Linked DNA regions of Pelodiscus sinensis. The protein of the gene in region 1 interacts with the protein of each later gene in a pairwise test. Links are inferred from orthologs where the notes say so. Each region holds a gene or a part of one and is shown in the gene's direction. Other genes may lie near its edges.

Evidence for each region.
Region 2: the proteins of MIPOL1 (region 1) and TTC12 interact in binary tests that used the Homo sapiens proteins (3 or more experiments, as listed by UniProt). The two-hybrid records come from large-scale screens. The link is inferred for Pelodiscus sinensis from reciprocal best matches to the Homo sapiens genes MIPOL1 and TTC12.

What each region holds. Positions count from the first base shown.
Region 1 is NC_134714.1:46,601,376-46,608,613, reverse strand, and holds the start of MIPOL1 (mirror-image polydactyly gene 1 protein), read left to right. Parts: upstream 1-4,227; 5' UTR 4,228-4,465; intron 4,466-7,148; 5' UTR 7,149-7,182; intron 7,183-7,238.
Region 2 is NC_134736.1:8,171,652-8,179,371, forward strand, and holds the start of TTC12 (tetratricopeptide repeat protein 12), read left to right. Parts: upstream 1-4,719; 5' UTR 4,720-4,923; intron 4,924-7,720. UniProt on the Homo sapiens protein: Cytoplasmic protein that plays a role in the proper assembly of dynein arm complexes in motile cilia in both respiratory cells and sperm flagella.

The sequences.
Region 1 (7,238 bases):
AGAGTTACTAGAAATAAAAATATATTTTGCGTTAGAATTAAAGTGTTTCCACCTGCAAACCACGGATTCCCTGTGTGCCTCTCACACACTGGGGCACTGGAGTTCTGCACTTCCCGCTCCTTCCTCTCCCCCTCCCTCCCAGCACTTTCAGAGCACTGCTGTTCAAGCTCTGGGAGGGATGGAGGAGGAGCAGGGTCGGAGCGCAAGTCAGCAGATTCATGGCATTCCAAAAGTGCTGGGAGTGCAGTGGTAGGAGCAGGTAAGTGCAGAGCTGCAGTGCACAAGAGGGACATGGAGGAAGGGGACAGAGTGGGATGTTCACTGACATGGAGGGCCATTCATGCAGCCCACTTACTAATCGTGGTTGCCCATTGCTAGTCTACACTAAAAGTGGCCACAGCACGAGCGCTGAGAGAAATCAGCCCAGGCTCGTATGTAAATCACCTCCACGATGCTCCCAGTGCTATATTCTGGTTCACACTGGCTCTTCACAGTGCTGTAACTTGCTGTGCTTGGAGGTATTTTTTCACACCCCTGAGCCAGAAAATTACAGCACTGTAAAGTGCAATGTAGACTTAGCCTTGGATTTACAAAGGGAACATGAAGAGAAATCAAGTTGGACTATTAAAGTTATCAGAAACCACAATTCATCTAATTTTACCATTTCAGTCTGTTTCTGAGACAAAAAAGCAGGCTCTTTCTAAGCAAAAAAGCAATAATTTTAGACAAGTGACATTTTAAAGAAGATACTTTAGTTGACTGCAAGTAATTATTGTCTGAATTTCTTAGATAAAGAATTTTTCCTCCAGTTGCAGGTCTTTCTGAGAATTTGCCACATCACTCCCAGATGTGTTTTGTTACTTGGAAAATGAGTAGCCAATGCATTATTACTCGGAAGCATAGACCTCAAAACATTTTGTTGTTAGATATTTTCACCAAGCTACAGTACAATTCTGATAAGTTCTTTTGCTGAGCCTCTCTTGTGATAAAGTATTATCAACAAGTTCTGCTGACTGAGAAGATATTCCAGCGCTGTAAGAAAATTTAGCTGTTAATTGCTTACGGCAAAGAATGCAAAACCTGTGATGGTCACTGCACAGTGTATGAACATGTAGAGTATTAATTAAATGTAAAAAAAATGAATTGCTATATGTTGAGATTGTAATTGTACCAAAAAAATCAGGAAATTCAAAATTATTGTTCCACAGCAAACACAGCTTGTTCCCCTTGCACATATCAGGAAACAAATAGTAACTTGAATTGTTTAATATATGTATGTAAAAACTATGAGTAATCATTGTGGTGGGAATCTAGAGTAAATTCCCCTAAGACAATAAACTCTGAATGTGCTGACCTTCAAGTAATTAAAATCTCAACATTGTTTCATTAACATTTACATTAGTTCCCTTGGTTTTGCTCAGTAAGAACATTGCTTGATAAATACCATAAGATCATCAAGCCACCAGTTTTTTAGGTTGTCAAAAACTACTTGAGCATCATTGGTTCTCCATAGATGGAGAATCAGCTATTCAGTATCCCCTTTGATAGCAATGCATACATTGACCAGACATCCTGTTTTTAAAGGTGCAATCCCATATTTAAGTCCTGCAAGTGTCCCAACTTTTTCTTAAAAATGGACACATTATCCTGTATTTTCAGTATCCCACCACCAACAATACTGGCAGCTCCTGCTACTGGCTGGATCCCTGCTTGCCAGCTGCCTGACCATCAGTGAAGTCCAGTGCCTAAGATGGGAGTGGGTGTGCAAGGCAGTGTGGGATAAAGATGCAGCATGGCTGCTCCCCCTGCTGGTCCATCAGCATAGTTCACGCAGAATGTCAGATGTCTGCCAGCAGGGCTCTGTCCCACTTCCTGTCCCATTTCCAGCTGGTACTGGTGGTGAGCTGCTGTGGTTGTGTGCAAGCAGGTACCAGGCAGCAGCTGGTTATGTGTTGCTGCTGCTGCCCACCAACTGGCCTTTTCCAAGTTTCCCCTTTCACTGTTCTCTGCTTTGCCTGCTTTCTCCTGATACTCTTCCATATCTGCAACAGGCGCCATTGCAACAAAACAGGAATTTGTGTATGTCTAAAGAATAAAGTTAAGCTTTAAAATAGCCAAGATGTACATAATTAACACTGAAATGTGTCTGTTGTGGATGCATGTCATCATACCATTCTCTTATGTAAAACATTACTGCTTTAGGAAACCATAAAGTTGATCTACAATTTTAAAATAAAAACAAATCACTGTCACTTTATTACTAGGTAACATGTACCCCAAACACCAATGGTTAAACACTCCTTCAGGTTATTTTCTTTTATAGCATATAGCTTTTCTCGTTTAGCATCTCAAAATACTTCTAAAATGTGTGTGTGTGTGTGTGTGTATACACATATACACACACACACACACATTTATATAATGTATATTTTTATTTATAAACATTTATATAATAAATATAAATAAATAATACTGATCTTCTCAAAATACTAATGGCTGCACCCCCCTAGGCAGATTTCCCAAAGCATTACAAGATTTTATCCTGTGTTCTCATGAACCTTTTCCTCTACTGCTCTTCCTAACACTACATATCTGTTCACCTGGATCTCAGAAGCCTCTTTAAAAGAACTAGCTCAGTAATATTCACATATAGTTTATTTGATCATTTTCTCTGTGAGGGGTTTAGAGTGACCATATTTCTCAAAGTGAAAATGGGATACCACATGGGGCTGATCCACGTCATTTGCCTAAGCCTCTCCTGCCACCATGTGAGGCTGGCCTAAGCTCAAATCCCTTCTCTCCCCACACCTGCCCTTTCTGCTGCCAGAGTGACTTGCCTAAGCCAACTGGTGTGACTGCTAACATGAGCCCATTGTACATGGCTAGTGTCTTCCCTTGCTCTGAATTAGGAGAAGCCTACTCCAATTTTTTGGCAGAACTCAGCATCTGTCCTGTTTGACCTTGCCAACTTATGAGCTGGCAAGATTAAACTGAACAAACGGGGGCCAACAGACATGCTGAGGCCTGGGGCAAGGTGGGGGTGCAGCTCCATGCCCCCAGAAGGGATGTGGCCTCAGGTGCAAGGGACAGGGCTGGGAGCAGCTGGCCTTCAACATAGCCTATGGATCTAGTGCAGTGCACTCCACGCTATGTCTACACTGGCGGGTTGTTCCGCAAGAACATTTTGTGAAGACTTCCTGTGCAAGAAATCTTGAGAAGAACACGTCCACACGGCCATGTGCTTTTGCGCAAGAGATTTGCTTTTGCGCAAGAGCATCCATAGCTGTGTGGACGGTTTCTTGTGCAAGAAAGCTCTGATGGCCATTTTAGCCACATTGCCTTCCTGCACAAGACCTCCTGCGCAAGAAGGCTTACGCCTGTCAGAAAAGAGCGTAGCTGTTATGCAAGAAGCCCTCTCTAACCATGCTGTACTGTAAATCTTGCGAAAGAGCTGGCGGGCAGTGTGGATGCTCTGCGGAAGAACAGCCGTTCTTGCGCACAAGAATCCACCAGTGTAGAAATAGCCAGAGTGATTTAAACAGCCTGGGGCTCCAGCTGCTGTTGCTCCTGTGGTAGTGGCAGTGGTGGCCAAGCGTCCCAAAGCCCAGCAATTCTAAAAACCCTGGGACAATTGCCTCTTTTGCCCCGTCAGCAAGCCTGAAGACAAGTGCCCATTTTTGAAAAAAAAAAAAAAAAAAAAGTCAGAACAGCTAGGCCAGGGCTTACAAAGGGCCTGATACCAAATTATTAGTTGCCTTAGTGATACCATTAGTCAGTGAATAATCACCACTACACGTTCATTATTCAACTAACTTTATTCTTGAAAACAGCTTACGTCAGGGCCCCCATTCTATCCTTTCAGAAACAAGTACAGCAGTCGCTCCCCCTCTCCCTCATTGGAAAAAACACATCAGATTCTTCAAGTCAAAGCAAACCACACCAGCAACACAACAACAAACACAGGGCAGACAAGCACAGGAACTGTTCTCCTCCCCCAAAAGCCTTAGTGTGCTCCAGCCTATTAGCCAACTCCCACGCCTTTGCATCCCTTCCCCCTAAGTTCCCCACCACAGCGCGTCCCAAAGCAGCAAGTCAGTAGCAATCACCCAAATTCCCCCGCTAGAAGCGTCCACCGAAAGCTCCAACCCCCCCCGCTTCGTCGCTCGCTTCGGTGACCAGCTGATCAAATCCCGCCCAGTGTCTAGCTCCGCCTCCCACCCCCGGCTGTGCTGTTTGCTCCTCCTGACCTGCGGGAGCTCGCCTTTGCGCGCTCCCGTGGGCTGTGTGTTTCCTCCCCATCGGTGTCGCCAGGGCGCGCCCGCTGCCCTTGCCCGCCTGCGCTCGGGGCTTTGTTTGTCGGGCCGGGCTGACGGCGCGGGCCGGCGGCAGAGGGGGGCTGTGGGCACGCGCAGAGCAGTGTCTCCTCTTTGGGGTGCGTGGCACAAGCCGTAGGAGGAGGACACAGGTAATTGGCTCCCAGGAGCATTTCACCAGGCAGCTTAATCTGGGGGGCCTGGCGCTGCGTGTGTAGGATTCTTGGAGTTGCTGTGCTGGAGTTAGGATTTGCTCACACGTTGCCTGTGGGGAGACCCTGGGCTGGGCTCCAGTGGGGCATGTGTCTGTTGGATTGTGTGCTGCGAGCAGACCAGGGGGCTGTGTTCACTGCGTCCTGTGCTCAGCAGGACCACGCTCACACACGAGAGGGCTGCACGTGCGCTGTCTTTCCAACAACTCTCTGCCTCTGCTTCCCTGCCCTGCCTTGCCCAGTGCGTTACAGAATTCTGTTTGGGCTGTGGGCACGGGTGGGCCAAGTCAACTGTTTCATAGTGCGCCCGTCACAAAAGATTACTGCTGTCCTTATTAGAGGTAAAGGATATGTGGGCTGTAGCAACTGACCTACTCTCTAACCTCTGGAGGTACTCAGTCCTCCTAGCCGCTTGTGAGGAAACCTGTGTTGTGTCGATTCTGTCCCTGTGAATGCAGGATATCAGTCCCCAGGCGTCTTAATCCAGCCTTCAGATCACCTATATATACAGAGAGAGAGTGGAACCAAAAAAAAGTGACTTGAAGTGTGACATGGTTGTGGAGAGACATTCCAGAAAGTACTAGCTTCATTGGTTAGATATTGGAGGCTCAGAGAGAAGGTCCTTATTCTGAGTATTATGTAACAATTTGCAGGGAGTAGGAGGATGTAAAAGAGCCCTGTGTGCTTATATACCGTCTTTATCTTGATTAGAAGAGATCACTCTGATTCCAAAGGGCCATTAAACTATTCTTCCAGGAGTGAGCTAGATCTGGAAGTAACTCTGGGGCTGGGAGGGTACTGGGACTGGTCAATACAGAATGCGTGAAGTTCCACTGCACCTATATTTTGCAAACTTGCCAGTATATTTTGTAATTTGCGTATAATACTAGTCTCTCCCCACTTTACACAAGAGCATTGTGGGATAGGCCTGTATTACTAAATCTTCATAACTTATACCGCTGTGGTCTCATTCATATTTTATGAAGTTTTAAAATTCAAAATTAAACTAAACCCTAATTGCCAAACCAAGCAATACATTCTGTGATAGTGAGTAACATTAAAAAAAATAAATTTAGTAATGCAGTTCATGCAGATTAGTGAGGTTACACTGAAAGCAAGAAGTGACACACTTTAAGCTCAGGGACAATGATATTGACACTAACAGTCATCACTACTAGTATAGGGACCAGCACTGACTTCACTCTGACAGTCACCCTGGCAGCTGGAAGAGGCAAGCTGTCAAATATACTGGAGAGAGGAGGAGTTAAGTAAGATGTAAATAGAGATCTATAATTTACAGATGGAAAAGGCCTAAAATAATCGGGTATGCAACCCATCTCCTGGCCAACACATGAGTGATTACTATTTTGTATATATTTCTAGTGCTGTGTCTAGTTTAGCTGAAAATGTGTAAGTAATGGGACCACGCTAATAGATCTCACTGCAGAGAAATTTTCCTTGATAAGTCAGACTGAATTTTACCTTTCTAAATTTAATCTGCTATTACTCCCAGCTATCATGCTATATTCTTTCCATGAGTTCTTCTCCGTGCCTGTTTTTTTTTTTTTTAGACCAATCATGTAACTATTTAAAATTACTGCGTCTCAACATAAGATGTGGTGCTGTGAAATTCTGAAATGCATCGTTCAGTGAAGTCTGTGCCAAGCACCATCCATGATTATGCCTTTAATTGTTACTTAGACAATGTATATTTTTAGTTTTCATAAATCCAGAGTTTATAATTTTTATTGCTTTTGCTTGATTTGTTTATTGCTCTTGCCTTCTGCTGCAGGAGGTTGGGAATTTAAATATTTGTCTCAACTGTTACCCATAATTTTATGTAGTCAAATGCATTTGAGTTATATCCCCAGCTCCAGCAGCTCAGAATCACCAGGCTAGGCTGTTCTTGTAGTATTGTATGTGGGTAGGAATCAGTTACATTTGTGGACAAATGACAGCAGTAAAATATATTTCATGGGATCAACCAAAAATACAAAAGCATAGCACATAACACATTAGCTCAAACCTCTGAAGTCTGTGCTGGGGCTTCCTTTCACTTGTGTGGGTTAGCAAACATTTTAAACTCTAAAACCATGGTACGTTCACGTCTTGAATACTGCGTACAAATGTGGTTGCCTCATTTTAAAAAGATGTATTGGCATTGGAAATGGTTCAGAAAAGGGCAACAAAAATGATAAGGAGTTTGGAATGGGTCCCATATGAAGAGAGCTTAAAAAGGCTTGGACTTTTCATCTTAGAAAGAGGAGATTGGGGGGGATATAATAGAGGTCTATAAAATCATGACCGGAATGGAAAAAGTGAATAAGGAAAATTATTTACTTGTTCCCATAACATGAAGTTTTTCTTCATTTAGCACACAGTCAGCCTGTGGAACTCCTTGACAGAGGATGTTGTGACGATCAGGACTTTAACAGGGTTCAAAAACTAGATACGTTCATGGAGGTTAGGTCCATCAATGGCTATTAGCCAGGATGGGTAGGAATGGTGTCTCTAGCCTCTGTTAGTCAGAGACTGGAATGGATGACAGGAGAGCAATTGTGATGATTTCCTTTTGTGTTCATTTCCTTTGGGGCATCTGGCATTGGCTACTGCTGGAAGACAGGATAGTGGGCTTGATGGACCTTTAGTCTGACCAGGTATGGCCATTCTTATGTTCTCATGTTAAAATTAATTTGAAAAATTGATTCTAGAT
Region 2 (7,720 bases), on another chromosome or scaffold:
GTGTGGTTCACTGTCCCATGCAGTGGCACGTAGACCACTTACAGTAATAGATAAGAACAAGAGATCTCTATAGCCTAGGCTGAGAAGCAGCTGGCTTTTAGCTCAAGTGGTAGAGGTTCCTACACTAAACTCCAGAGTTTCTAGGTTCAAATCTGCCCTGTGGCAGTTACACTGGTATCCCAATTTTCTTTCCAATGCCAGTTCTAACCAGGACTGGATGCCACCAGGTACACTGTGTCCCCCCATGATTGTGAAAGCTCATTCTTATCAAGCGATTAGCATGTCATCCCCATGGGGCTGAGCTCTTTATTACTGCATGTGCCATGCAGCACTGAACGGCGCATTGCCAGCACAGCGTAAATCACAGTCATGACACAGTGATCTTCCTAAGGCCAAGTGGCGAGCTGCGCTCTGCAGGCCTGACCATTTACCCAGCTCAACCTGGTTTGAGCAGAATGAGAGACATGGCTTTGACACTCCGCATTGTGAGTCATTCAGATACTGTCATGGTGGGAGGGGGCACATAGGTACATAAGAGAGAGAGCTAGATGAGATCGATGTGTGTGAGGCGAGATGAATTTGATTAGATTCTGGCAGCGATGGGCAACCTAGATTAGTGAGTGGGCCGCATGAGTGGCCCTCCTTCATCTCAGTGGGCCGCAGGATTGTCCTAACCAAGATGGCCTCAGGACAGGGTAGTTTTGCTCACTGAACATACGTAGCTAGAATTTGCAGGGGGTGCCGATTGTACCATAGCCGCACGTTGATGGGATGAAGAGGGAGCACACAGCTCTCACGGTCAATGTTGTCTGCAATTGGCATGCACCTCACTTCACCGGCCCTTGCTTTACAGGTGTGTCACTTTAGTAGTACGGGTAGGAAAACAACTACACGGATGTACACCAGGAGAATCTGGCAGCCCTGTGCATGGGCAACGGTAAACAAAATGTCTTGTCGGATGTGCACACACCCCTCTCCACATGGGCTGCATGCAGTCTGCGGGTCACAGATGGCCCACCATTGGATTATGGGCAGTATGAGAACATAGGATGTTGCCATGTTACACATAACACTCCAAGGCCCCCGGATTGCTGTACAAAGCATCAACCCCTTGAATTCTCCAAACTGGATGAGCTGAGGTACTGCTCCACTTGTATTATTATTGCTATTGCTATTATTGATATTGATAGTTCTACTTAGAGCAATGGTTCTCAACTTGTTTCAATCCACGGACCACCAGGCCAAACAACAAATTTTTGTGGACTTTGGGCAATGTTCCTGTGGACCACCGAAAAAGTCACCATGGACCACCAGTTGAGAACCACAGATTTAGAGGCTCCAACAAGCTCTGAGCTGCCTTGAGCTGTGTTCTATATGTAGAGACCATGAGAAATGGCCCCTGCCTTGAGGAACTTGAGCTATTGCCAATTCAGAAAAGGATCGGGATATCATACAGGAAGATCAGGATGATCTTGTAAATTGGAGTGATAGCAATAGGATGAAATTTAATAGTGAGAAGTGTAAGGTTATGCATTTAGGGATTAATAACAAGAATTTTAGTTATAAGCTGGGGACACATCAGTTGGAAGTAACGTAGGAGGAGAAGGACCTCGGAGTCCTGGTTGATTATAGAATGACTATGAGCCGCCATTGTGACATGGCCGTGAAAAAGGCTAATACGATCTTGGGATGTATTAGGTGAGGTATTTCCAGTAGGATAAGGAGGTGTTAGTGCCATTATACAAGGCATTGGTGAGACCCCATTTGGAATACTGTGTGCAGTTCTGGTCTCCCATGTTTAAGAAGGATGAATTCAAACTGGAACAGGTACAAAGAAGGGCCATTGGATTATCCGAGGAATGGAAAACCTGTCTTATGAAAGGAGACTCAAGGAGCTTGGCTTGTTTACTTTAACCAAAAGAAGGCTAAGGGAGGACATGATTGCACTTTTTAAATATATTAGAGGGATAAATACCAGGGAGGGAGAGGAATTATTTAAGTTTAATACCAATGTGGACACAAGAACAAATAGATATAAGCTGGCTAGTAGGAAGTTTAGACTTGAGATTAGACAAAGGTTTCTAACCATTAGAGGAGTGAGGTTCTGGAATGGCCTTCCAAGGGAAGTAGTGGGGGCAAAAGATCTATCTGGCTTCAAGATTAAACTAGATGGGTTTATGAAGGGGATGGTTTGATGAGATAACATGATCTTGGTAACTAATTGACCATTCATTATCAGTGGGAAATAGGTCAGTGGAGGGATGATAGGAGTTACTATAGAGAACTTTCTGGGTGTCTGGCTGGTGAGTCTTGCCCACATGCTCAGGGTTTAGCTGATCGCCATATTTGGGGTCGGGAAGGAATTTTCCTCCAGGGTAGATTGGCAGAGGCCCTGGAGGTTTTTCGCCTTCCTCTGTAGCATGGGGCACAGATCACAGCTGGAGGATTCTCTGCATCTTGGGGTCTTCAAAGTATTTGAAGGCTTCAATATCTGAGATATAGGTGAGAGGATTATTCTAGGAGGGGTGGGTGAGATTCTGTGGCCTGCACTGTGCAGGGGGTCAGACTAGATGATCATAATGGTCCCTTCTGACCTTAAAGTCTATGAGTCTATGAGGTGGTGAGTGAGAGAAAGGCAATAGTAATATCCCCATTTCACAGCTAAGCAGGGAAAGACTGAGGCGATGTCTACACTATGCAACTTTTAGCAAGTAGGCTGTGACAATAGCCCTGTCGCTAAAAGCTGCCAGGTGTGAACACTGTTTGTTGGCACTTTTGCCGACATAATACTTCTACCCCCAAAGAGCGGGTTTCCCTTTGAGAGCACTTCTGCCGACAAAGCAGTGTTCACACATGCACTTGCCATGGCAAAACTTTGTCGTTCCTGGGGAAGGGGATAAAACACCCATGAACAACAAAAGTTTTTCCAAGCAAGGGAAAGCGTAGACCCAGCCTAAGCAACTTGACCTAGGTTAGAGAAGGAATCTGGTAGCACCACCTCAGTGCTGTACCCCTGCAGTCCGCCTTTCCTCTGCTTCCCGCAGTCGTTGTGCAGGGTGTGTAGTGTTCGTGTCTAGTCACCCACCCTTTCCAATTATTATAAATTAGCAGAAAGGAGCAGGAGACTCAGCAACTCAGCGTTCAGCTCTCCATTAATGGCAAGTGCTTCGTTCTCGCTGTGACGTGTTCCACTCAGCGCGGTCCTGGAGAGGGGGCAGCAAAAAGCAAGCGAGACGCATTCGAGCCAGACACAGTGCATGATAAACAGCAGGGCTTTTAAAAAGGAGCTTTCTAGGGAATTATGAATTAATAATTAAAAAGAGGAATTGACTGGCTGCAGCTGGTCTGAGGCCAGCGCCGCAGGAACCCAGCACGGGCGAGTCAGAAATGCACCGTTAGCACCGCCTGCCTGATTTACAGAGAAATCTTAAAGGAATCATAAATCTCTCTTAATAGAACTGGGTGGGCTTACATCGGAGGAGAGGCAGGAATCGTCTTTGTCCTTGCTTTAAATGCTACCAGGGATACATTAAACAGGGACCCAGGGAAGTGTTCCGCCTAGGAACACAGGCAAGTTTTGCCACATGCAATCAGACCATTTCTTCAACTGGAAAAGTCCCCCCCCCCCCCACCATACATCCACCAGCAGTGCCATGTGTCCAGGCATGGCTGTGGTGTAATATACGATAGGGTAATACATACATCTGATCCTGACTGCCCTTCACTGTGCCTATCACTGACGCCCGCTCCCCTGTGCCTCGGTGAAATGATAGCACACGTCTCAGTTCGGTTAGCTCAGATTGCCAGGGCTGGCCACCAGTAGCAATGAGTTCATGCCGATCCCCATGCAGGGGCTCTGAATGTGTCATTGCTAGGTGAGCTGCAGCCATGGGGACAGTCCCGACAGCGTTGGGACTTGGAGAATAGCCCCAGCATGGCTCTGTCATGCACACCGTCCCCATGTCATGGACAGGGCCTTAGGGGTGTGCATGGAGCTCTGAGTGAGAAGGGGCTGACGGCCAGATCTCTGTAATGCCAGCGAGAGCAGAGCTCCGACTTTGCATGGGGCTAGGCCTTGTCTGCCATCCCTTCCCAATAAGAAGCTGTTGCTTTTGTCTTCTGCTGGAGCTGCTTGGCTCTAAGGGGCACCTCCAGCCACTGTGACATCAGCATGGTGACGTTTGTCTCCGTTTTGGTGTGATTGGTAGGAAACCCTGCGGGTTTGTTATTGTGGGTGTCTTATTGTTCTTCCTTTCTGGCTAGGAAACGGGCTCCGTGCCAGTTGGTTCTGAACTACGACACAAGGACAGTCAAACTAGTCCAGCCCCAGCATTACTCAGCACTAGGCCTGCCTCCGTCTAAACCTGATCTTCCTTAGGACATGCTCTGTAGGGTGGGTGCTCAGGTTCATGGCTTGCTTAGCTGCAGATGTTGCTACAGCTTTGGCGCCTTTTCGGAGACGTGGCCAAGCCTTGCTCTGAACAGACCCGCCTCAGGGAATGTCTGAGTGTTTCTGCTCCAGGGACAGGACCTATGTGGGCTAGATCAGTGATAAGCTACAGCCCACACCAGGCCTGACAGGGTTAACCAGAGCCTGAGGGGCCAGTTAATTACCTGGCATCACCTGAGAAAAGGCGGGGCTGGGTTAATGGAGCGTGAAGCGCAGCTGAGGAAAGCTGGGCCAGTACTTCAACCCATAAAGCTAAGAGAACAAAGGGGGTCTGGGTGGAGGAATTTCAATGCTCTGGGATGAGGGAAGCCCTTAGAGAACATAAAAACAACAGGGATACAACAAGGCGTCTCCGTCCCATGTGGATCTGGATTTGAACTTGGCTGCCCCCGTCTAGACAGGAATGATGGTCTGGAGGTTAAAGGACGCAGGCGATCTGGATTCAGATCCTGGCTCTGCCTGTGTGACGTTGGGTAAGTCACTGGGTCTTCTCTGCAGCTGGGATTCACAAAGGTGTTTAAGCACGGAGGCACCTGGGGGCTCGTGATCTTTTCTTCCTCTGTCTTGTCGGGTGGGACTGGGCGCTCTTTGAGGCAGGGACTCTCTCATGATGGGTACATACAGCACCTGGCACACTGAGTCTCTGCTCACGTCTGAGGCCCCTCGGCACTCCCCTAATAATCCTTTTATTCCTGAGTTACAGCTGCGGCATCCACTCATCCCCTCGAGGAAGCAGCCCAGGAGGAGTAGAAAGGGGCAGCAATGCCACGCAGTACCTTGCTGAGACAGACGCCTGGGAGCAGCCAGCCCAGTGCGGTCAAAGGCAGCCCTTTGTCTCTCTGCTGCTCCAGACAGCCGGGTTCACTCAGCGGCTGGCTAATTAGCTGTGTGAATAGCCAGAGCTTGGGGCTGGCCTGTGAAAGGGAGATGGATGAGGTTGCTGCACGGCGCTGGCTGGGCAGGTGTAGCACAGCAATTCCCCGTTTTTCCCCTCCATCTGTTCCCATACTGCCGAGCCGGGCCCTCCTCTGACATGCCGAGTGACCCTGCAAACCCACCAGGCCCGGAACCGCTTCCCCCAGCTACTCTCACGCTCAGACGCGTCGGGCGCTTTTAATAAGGCAAGATTTACTGCTGACCTTTGGGCGCCGGGGTCCTTTCTGGGAGGCCGTGGCAGCCCCAGCCACGCCCCACCCCGCAGCAGGAGGAAAGCAGACTATTCCTCTCACTGCTTCGGGGGAACCCCAGAGATTCTTGAGTCCCATCCTCTGACCTCCGTTCCCACTTGCTCTCCTGCCCCTCCGAAAGCTCCACCTTCCGATTAGCCGGTCCTGGAGCCTGCTCCCCCAGGGCAACCAGAGATGATCTGTGGAGAATTGCTCCCAGACCCTTTCTTACCCTGAGGTAAAAGGCATTGTCAGAGCTGATCTGGAGACACTGGGACCAGTGGGACAGGAAGAGCGGAGGCTTCCAATACGATGGGGATGGGTGCTACAAACCAGTCCCCGGCTTGCCTGGATCTGGCCCCTGAGGCATGGGGCTTCCTCCTAGCATTGGGGAGCCTGTGCTGGTGCCTCAGCTCCCCGCCATTCCTCACAGGGCTGGAGCACACAACATCTACTAGCCTGGGCCTCCCTCGGCTCTGGTGTCTGAGGGGAATGTGGAGAATGTCTTTCTGCTTCTCGTTTGGAGGCTGCCTCACTTGTGTGTGGCCCCCAACTGATTTCGCTGTGGGTCAGCGGCCCCCGACCCAACAAGGGGTTCCCACCCCCGCTATAAACGCAGCACCATGGAACAAGTGGAAGGTTGCCAGCCCTCCAGGACTGGCCTGGAGTCTCCAGGAATGAAAGATGAATCTCGAATTAAAGATTACAGCCCGGCGTGAAATCTCCAAGGATGCGTCCAGTCCAAATTGGCCACTCTAAACAAGCCGCTCCATGGGCTCGTGACCAAAACGCTCTGCTCCCACTGCTTCTGGGGCAGGGCTCCCTCCCCATCGTGGCAGTAGAGTGCTTCATGCTCGTGCTCTGACTGGTTACTGCGGCCCTCTGCTTGCAGGCCCAGCTCTGCCAATGCACCCCTGTCCTGTCCCTCCACTTTCTGCTGTTGCAGCCCTGGTGCTTTTGCAGCCACAGCTCGGCCGGTACACTGCGACCCTGACCCGAACCCCCCCTCCTCCCCGTTTTCCAGCCCGGCCTGCCCATCTTGCAACCATGTGACAGGTTAACAAACACAGGGAGGAAGCTTGAAAGACTAACAGGAAACACCCCCACTGGTGACTTTGATCAGGAGGAGCTCAGGCATAGGGAGGCGGGAGACTTCACTGACAACCAGATGCTTCCGATAGGCCTAGGGTTGCCAGGTGTCCAGTATTGACCCGGCCCGTCTGTTATTTTCACGTCCTGTCCGGTAAAAAAATTCAGAAAATACCAGACACCTAAAATGTCTGGTATATTCTGATTTTTTTTTCCCTGCCAGGAGGCAAAAGTACCGGACACCTGGCAACCCTACGATCCACTCAGCAACTGGGCCCAGCTCTCTCACTTACCTGGTTCCACAGGGGAGCTGTCTTCTGGCTCGGAGCAGGAAAACAAGATGGCTGACGGCCATGCTGCCTTAAAGGAACAACATGCTGGGTTTTTTTTTTTTTTTTTTTTGCTTAATAACTCTTGGGGCAGGGGGGGATGTTTGGTATTTTTGGTTAAACCATCTGGCAACCCTAGACAGGCCCTGTGTTCGTTTGGGCCTAGCTGAGCACTCAGCACGGTCTCCGGTTGGCAGAAGATGATGGGAATGACTCCAACAGGGGCTGTTGCCAGTTGGTGCCGCCAATCCACGGCGTGTCCATGGTAGTTCTGCAGCCTCGGTCAGCAGGCGGGGCAGGACTGGTAGGGCTCATGCTTTCCTGTGGTGCTAATCTGTTGGGATGGGCAAGCACCAGCTTGGTCCCTGAAACCAGCTCCGGGCCAGGGTGGCTCCCATGGGCCAGCGCACACAAAAGCAATGGGGCAGCAGGGAGCTCTGGGGATGCTTGTGGTGTCAGGCTGGTGTCAGGGATTCAAGACTGACAGATGTTCCCGGGGGCAGGAGAAGAAAAATGTGTGGCCAGCCAGGAACAGGACTGGCTAGCAAGCTTCCGCTTCTGAGCTATGAGTTGTGTCCCTCAGAGCTTGGCTAGCCATGCTGTTTACCCCGAGTCCCTGGCAGAACCGGCTTCTTCCCAAGGTTTGGGTGTGGCTTTATTGCTCAGTGACTCTGGCATTCCTGATC